Linked DNA regions of Diceros bicornis minor. The protein of the gene in region 2 purifies or fractionates together with the protein of the main gene of each other region. This does not show direct contact. Links are inferred from orthologs where the notes say so. Each region holds a gene or a part of one and is shown on either strand. Other genes may lie near its edges. The genes, in order: TCTN2 and CLGN.

The links.
Region 1: the proteins of CLGN (region 2) and TCTN2 purify together in Homo sapiens (affinity purification with mass spectrometry; 3 studies listed by BioGRID and IntAct, with this or other methods). This does not show direct contact. The link is inferred for Diceros bicornis minor from reciprocal best matches to the Homo sapiens genes CLGN and TCTN2.

Annotation. Positions count from the first base shown.
Region 1 is NC_080774.1:6,829,515-6,833,429, reverse strand, and holds the start of TCTN2 (tectonic-2), read left to right. Parts: upstream 1-1,006; 5' UTR 1,007-1,078; coding exon 1,079-1,160; intron 1,161-1,333; coding exon 1,334-1,441; intron 1,442-1,901; coding exon 1,902-1,978; intron 1,979-2,807; coding exon 2,808-3,003; intron 3,004-3,915.
Region 2 is NC_080750.1:30,748,564-30,752,478, reverse strand, and holds the start of CLGN (calmegin), read left to right. Parts: upstream 1-1,411; 5' UTR 1,412-1,515; intron 1,516-3,915. UniProt on the Homo sapiens protein: Functions during spermatogenesis as a chaperone for a range of client proteins that are important for sperm adhesion onto the egg zona pellucida and for subsequent penetration of the zona pellucida.

The DNA.
Region 1 (3,915 bases), on a different chromosome or scaffold from region 2:
CAAGGTCAGGTTCCTTTCAGAATGTTAGATTTGCTGATCAATTAATATATAATAAACATAAAGAGTAATCACGGCAAACATTTATTTGGCGTTGTCTCTTTGTCAGGTATAGTGCAGAACACCATACATGGATTGTCTCAGCTTATTGGCACACGCTCCTTCTGATAGCTAAGAAAACGAGAGAACTTTTATCCAGTGCTTACCGTATGCTAGGCATTGGTCTAAGCTCATTACATATGTCACCTCATTTGATTGTCACACAACCCTGTTTGGGAGGGACTATTATTTTCCCCTTTTTATCAATGAGGAAAATCAAGCTTAGAGAGGTTAAGTGACTCACTTAACAGCGTGCAAGGAAGTCAAAATCCCAAACCAGGCAGTCTGACCTCAGAGCCTGCCCTCTGTCTCCGAACTACAACAACGCTTGAAATGCTTTGAGGCTATTGACAAGAAAAACGAAATTTTTTCCAGGTAGAATTCTGATAACTTTTGCACCTGTCCTAATGCTGGGCAAAACCTTTTGTGTGTTCTGTGGCAAGATCTGCTTTGGGTGTGCTGAGAGCTCTGTGTGGTAAAAAACAAAACAAAACCAAAAAACTTCAAAAAAACCGGGAGAATAATAAAAACAATTCAACACCACAATCATAGCCCAGCGGCCTCACCTCCGTTTGGTCCCTCCCCCCAAATCCCCATAAAAACTCAGTTTACGAAGCTTGCAGGCTCGCTCTTGCAGTGTGACTGAATTAACTCAAGGCGCGGGGAACCCCACTTTTTAAAGTAGACGCGGACTCCCACTCCTTCCCGATCCTGTAGCGGGAGTGGAGGGGCCCCGAGGGCGCAAGGCCTGTGGGCGGGGCCGGGATGCAGCGGCTGGGGGCGGGCTCTCTCTGCCGCTGGCCCAATCACGGCGCGCCGCTCCGCCTGGCCGGCGGCCGATTGGTGGTTGCCATAGCTCCGGGCGCTCGCTTGACAAGATGGCGGCGGCAGGGCAGCGAGGGCCGCGTCTTGGCGCCTGGGGGCCTCCCGGCTTCTAAGACGCGCGCGGTTCTGTGGTGCGGGCCCCGCGCGAGCCCCAGGCATGGGCTTGCCGCCGGCGGCCCCTCTGCTCTTGGGGCTCCTCCTTCTGCAGGGCGTCCTGAGGCCGCTGTGGGGGGACCCGGGTGTGTACGGCGGGGCAGGGGCTGCAGGGCCGGGCTGAGGGGACGTGGCGTGTAAGGGGTCGGACTCGGACTCCTGCGGGAGCTCCGGAAGACGCCGCCAAGGAAGGCCACCACACGCTCCGGCAGGGGCTCTGCAACCATTAACTCCTCCCTGTCCCTTCCTTCCCGCCTAGTTTTCATCCCTCCTGTCATCCGCATGTCCGGCCCTGCGGTCAGCGCGTCCCTGGTCGGAGGCACCGAGGATGTGACCGTGTCCCTGGCCCTGCTGCCGGACGCAGAGGGTAAAGAGTCCGGCCCCTCCGGCTGGAGAGTGGGGGTTGGGCCAGGTCCAGGCCGCCGGAGGAGTCCGGCGAGGTGGCATCCTCAGGGTCCCCTGCCGCTGTCCCCTGCAAAGTCGGTATGGGGAGGAGGGATGGGGGGCCCTCTGTGGACCAAAGAGAACCGACGGACAGGTTCGATGAAAGAAAGCTTGAAATCGTAGTGGCCAGCATTCGTTGAGCTGTCCCCTGTGCTTTACACCTGTCACCTCATTTTTCTAATAAGAACAGTAATATCCTTTAATCCCATGTGACAAATGAAGGCACTGGAGTTCAGAGAGGTTGTCACTTATTCAGTCACACAGCTTATAAAGGGCCCAGCCCTAGGGTTGGAAAGGGATTCTGTCCTAGGGAGCCTGATTCAAGAGTGCACCCCCTTAGCTGCTGGGTGATACTGCCTTGCATTCTCATCTTCTCTCCCTAGGGTTATTGCCAGTTCCTTCTTGTGGAGTGCTGAACAATGAGACGGGAGACTGGAGTTTGACGGTGACCCCCAGTGGGGTAAGGCTTCTCAGTAGCATCTGTGGAGGCCCACATTTGGTGTTTCTACAGTGCTCTCTTGATTGGACAAGATGCAGCTCTCTCAGTGCCCGGAACTACCATGAAACTGTGGGCCAGCAGATCTAGTAGACACCCATCCAGCCCAGAGGGTCTTACTAGGGTTAGGGGTCCTTGGACAAGTGTCAAGCAGTCAGTGAATCCTCTGAAAGTGTGTGTAAAATTACATGTGTGTGCGTTTTTCTGATGAGATGGTCGCCAGCTTCCATCAGATTATCAAATGCAACTGTGACTCAGAAAAGCTTCCTAAACCGAAGGTCTCACCCAGCTCTGAGATTATGTGTAAAGGACACTCAAGCCTGGAGACATTAAATATCTTCCATTTAATAAATGTTTTATTGAGAGGCTAGTGTGTGCAAGGCGTTAACTCCGGAGATAAAGGATGAGAAAGACAGACTTTGCTTGCACCGCAGGAACTGGGGACTGTTTCCATTGACTTTTTTTGTGTCTTTAATCTGCTGGTAGGATGATAAAGAAACTAAAAAGGTGCTGTACAAAGTGAGTTAATTTATCAGAACTGTTTAGCTTTCTCTAAGTATCCAGAAGTCACTTGCTTTTCTGTTAAACCGAGGATTAGGAATCAAAGCTCGCACATTGCCATAGGTTTACAGGGTGGAATTGAACAGAATTATGTCATCTTTGTATACAATTCTCCTTTTGTAAATGAACGGTTGCTGATGTGTGCTTTTATCATGTTTTCCATTATGTGTCCTTATAATTATAGATGCTGTTTTGAGTCACTCTAAAAAGTACAGCAATATTTTCCTTTCAGAATTCATTGGAAGTGACAGTGAGGTTGAAGAGGAGTCTGCAATGGTGTTCCTCCAATGAGACAGATTCCTTCTCAGAGTCCCCATGTATTGTCCAAACTCTTCTGATTTCAGCATCTCACAATTCATCCTGTTTAGCGCATCTACTCATTCAAGTGGAAATTTATGCCAACTCTTCTATGGCCCATAATGCATCAGGCAAGTAAAGTCTTTGACTATCAAAACATTCACGTCAAGCGTTATCTGTCTGATTGTAAGTGTATACCATGCAATTTGTGTACTTCACTCTTGGGTCTGTCTTGCTTTGCTAAACTTATTTTGCTTTTGTTGAGTTTTCTTATTTTAAAAGTTTTCACTTTGTCTTATTTTACTTAAGATTTATTTTATCTTGCTCTACTGTTTGTATCTTTGTAAGCCACCTTAAATCTTTTTTGGGAGAAGGTGAAGTTTGTTTCTGTGTATTGATTCCTGTGACTCCATCTTAAAACAAAAAAACCATACACAAAACCAAAGGGAAGAGAAAGACTCATGAGTGAGTTTGTAGAAAAACAGCAGAGTTTTGGTGAAAGCTTTTGATCTCTAGCTCCCTTTCCTAAAGGCAGCCTGCTAACTTATGCTTATAGAAGCTCATATTCCCTTTAAACACACACACACACACACACACACACACACACACACTATAATAACACTCGATTTGCTATTCTATATGTTTTAAAAAATAATATAATGTAGAGATTGTTCCATATGAATACATGTAGAATACCTCATTCTTTTTAATAGCTACATAGTATTCCATTGTGTAGATATACCATTGTTTATTTAGCTAGTCTCTTAGTAATTGAATTTCAGTCATTTCCAGCTTTTGATACTATAACTAGTGCTACAGCAAATATCATTGTGCACTTATGTCTTTGGACATGAGAACATGGTTTTGTATTATTTTCCTTTTCATATAAGGGCAATGTTCTAAGAATAAAAGATGTGCTAATGTGGAGGGGTCCCTCAGTACGGTGCCACCTCCATGTTCCCTGTTCCAAACTCTAGCACCTCTTGCATTTACAGGCACCGGGGATGAAGAGAGAAGCGTTCCCCTTTAGTAACAAAGTTCTG
Region 2 (3,915 bases):
AAAATAGTCATTAAAACAGATAAATAGGTATCCTCCTAAAACAACACTCCAAACTGAGAATAAGAATTAAGTGTATATCAGAATCTTGGAGTTTTAACAAATTTTCGCATCAATGCGTCAGGGTAACGGCCCATTTAGCTCTAATTCCCCATTTTTAAATTTTTAGCTTTCAGCTTCTTCATTGCAAACTTTCAATGGATCCTTCAGAAATTCTTCTCTAGCAAGTCAATCATATTTGTTATGGGCCACAGAATTACATTGAATAATAGAAGTTGGAAAGACTGGAGAAAGAAATTAAGAGGATAATATTGTTACATAGTACCTCAAATAAAAATTTTTTAAACCAATAAAATTAAACACTATATAAACATGCTTCAGAGGGTGACACTGTCAAAAATCTAGAAATAGTGGCTTTACTGCTGATGCAATGTGAAAAATATTCAGTGATCTTGGCATCTAGCCAATAACATTGTGCACAGAGCATCATCAATCCTCTCATCAGATACTCTTTAATAGGGGTATCACAAGTCAATTAAATATTTTATTCTTCCAATAACATTGAAATCATTATACCAATTTCAAAGTCGAGATTTACTATAAAATATAAGTAGTACAAGCTCCATGACCCAACATCTACGGGCAGAGGCTTGTGATTCAATACTATGTTTTTGCTGTATTCTTATTTTTAGCGCGTTGGTTAAAACTTCAGGCTCTGAGAGAGTTAAGCCTGGATTTGAACCCTATTTCCACCATTTACTAGTCAAAGGCTCGGCATGTAATTATTTTCAGTTTCTTCACGTGGGCTGTTGTGATGGTTAAACGAGAACAGGAATGTAAAACCCTTAGAGTACAGTGAGCACAAGAAATGATAGCAATTCTTAACAGCATTTCAAGAAGAAAACATAATGTATTTATTAGGTTAACATTTAATATATCTGTATTTATCGTACACAGCACATGAAATAGGAAGCCTCGCCCTGACCACAATGACCTCTCATCTGTTAACAACATACCGAACTCTAGGAAAGGCCTGGGGTACCAACTGGACGCTGTTCAAAAACGGGATTTACATAAAATTCAGGACCCAATTATGCGCAATAGGAGGCAGACCCCCACTGCTTGCAAAGAGGGCAACGCGCTCTGCGGGAAGGAAAAGTCTTGGGACTAATAACCAGACATTCCTCCCCTGCCAGCCCAGTCCACGCTACCATTGGCCCGCGGAAGCGGCGCGGCGCGCGGTGCCGGGAGCGCGCCTTACGGCGGGCGGGCGGCGGCATTCGTAGCGCAGGCTCGCAGGGCGGCGCCCCTCGGTGGCCGTTGAGCCCCCCGGTGCAGGTGCGCGCGGCACGCGCCTCGGGCCCCCGCCTCCTCCCCGCCTGCGGCCGCACGCGCATGCGCGGTTAGCAGTCGCTGCTGGGCGGCCGCCGGCGGGAGTGGTCTGGGGAGACTTAGGGACCAAGTGGCAGCCACTCGGACATCTGAGCTGCCACTGCCGAAAACAGGCCCCCAAGACAGGTGCGTGGGCAGTAGGCCACTTTCCGCTGTCCTTTGCGCTCGCGCTGGGGTGAGGAATCGGAGTCGTTGCTCCTTCCCCCGGGGCGGGGGTTCCTGGGCCGCGCCCCTTTCTTTGGCGACCCGCCAGGCTGAATAGGTTGGGGCCGGGTGAGGGGAGTGGATGTTGAGTTCGGGATGGGGGCGCAGCGAGCGAGGTTCTTGGGCGGGCTCTCGGCCTCGGGAGAAGGAAGGCCATCCTGGGCGGCGGGAGTTGGTCACCTCGGGGACGTTGGGTCCTCCAGAACTGTTGTGTCCTCCTGTTGCGCTGGGCTTGGGGCGGCCTCGGGAAGGCCAGGTGCCCTCCCCAGCCCGGCCCTGAAGACTTAAGGGGCCCCAGGGAGCCGAGTCCGTTACTCCAGCGGTTAGCATTTCAGCCCCGTTCCACGCTCGAGCCCCGATGCGCGCTCCCGAGGGGTGTGGAGGGGACCCAAGGCGCGTCTGGGCGCTGCTCACCCCACCGGCTACTTCTCACAGAAACGCCAACAAAAGTCAAAAAGGCTCAGCTTACGCAATCCCCACCTCTGTAACGGTGAAGGGACCCAACCCTCACAGCGATGGTGGCCTGTGACTCCTGGCTACTCCCTAGATGCGCAGTTTGAAGCGCGGTGTGCGTCGCTGGGGAGGGAGCGAGAGGGTTGGGTTGAAACCAAGGAAACCCTAATTAATAGAGACTCATTATCGCCTAAAGCCTGTTTACGATCAGTCAGTCACTTTAGCTGAATTTATTTATAGCATCTGCCCAAGCAACAAGGAAGAGGCATTTGCTTGGGATTTAAAAGCAAATGGCAACAAAGCTCAGAAGGGGGAGAGAGAAAGTAAATAGAATGGCCATGGGAAGACGTCTCAAATTAGAAGAGTTAATTTATATTGAAACTGATGCATAAAAGCCATCAAAACCCTGATCTAGTCTTATGATTTTCCTTGCTCTGAAATTTTTACATTATTCTTGGTCATTTAATCACTCTAGGTAGCCCTCCTTTTGGTAATTGTAAGTTTGACTTCTTTTCAGTTTATAATTTTGCCTTCACATCTAATTGGTTTGATCTTCCAATCACATTTAGACCTTATCCCTAAATTCTTAGAACAAGATAGTCTATATTCTTTATCTAGTTGATAAAGTTAATTATTGTGTGCGAATGATATGAGGATGTGATGGATCTGTAGAAATTGAACAGTGCAGTGTTTTCAGTACCTAATAAGTTTTAGTGCTCATAATTAGAAAGCTAGAATTGTCAACTTTAGTGGACTAGTTTAGATCATCTAGTTTAAAACTTTTCACTTGACAAATGAAAAAACAGGCCCAGAGCAGTTTTAACCCTTTGCCTTTTTCATAATAGAACTAGAAACTTAGTGTGATGTGCCAAGTTCAGTGTACTATTTATTATATCATTCTGTAGTTGAGTTTCTGAAGCTGCATGCAATTAAGACTTGAAATAGTGATTTTCAAACATGACTTTTGAGGCATACCAGTGTTGAGTCCTCAGTCAGCCATTAAAAATGAAGAGCAGAAAGGCATCTCAGTTGTAAGAAAGAGCATATAGAACAGCACAAATGTGTTAAATAGGTGAGTGTTGAAGGGAGTAAAAGAACTGAGTGTTAAAAGGGCAGAATTTATGCTGAGAACTACAGAGAACTATTGAACATTTTTATAAACAGAATAAGACTTGTTTTTTAGAAAACTCATGCTAGAGAGAAGGTGGAGGATGTATTTGTAGACTGGCAAGACTAGAAGTGAAGAGACAAAGTGGGAGTTTACTAATCCTTTTCAGAAATGATGGGTTCCTAAATTAAGGCTGTGGCATGGGGATAGAAAGGGACATTTAAGAAATACCCAAATGCATTTAGCTACCAATAACATAGGAGGTCAGTGAGAAAGAATAGTCTTAAGATAATGGCAAAGTAACTTGACTGGTTCACTGGATGTGCAGTTAATGGGAGAAAAGAATTGAGATAGAGAAGCAGGTTTGGGAGGAAAGACCAAGTTCAAATGAATGGAGGCTTTGCGACATCCTTGAAGATGGGTAGTGATTGAAACTAAAGTGTGATATCTGAGCTGTGGATGAGATTTGGGAGTCCTTAGCTAGCTTTTATAGGTAGAAGCCAAGAGTATATGTAATGTAAGAAGAGAGCCTGGGACAGAACCCTCAGATACAGCAACATTTACAGAAGATTAGAGCAAGTGCCCATGAAGGAGGCAGAGAAAAGAGAATCAAGAATCGGGAATGGTACCGTAGAAACCAAGGGAGGAGAGGGCTCCAAGAAGGAGGCAGTCAGCAAGGTCAGGAGGAGCAGTAGGCAACGGGACTGCCTTACTGCACTTAACAATTAAGAATTGGCTGGTAGGAACAATTTCAAAGAAGC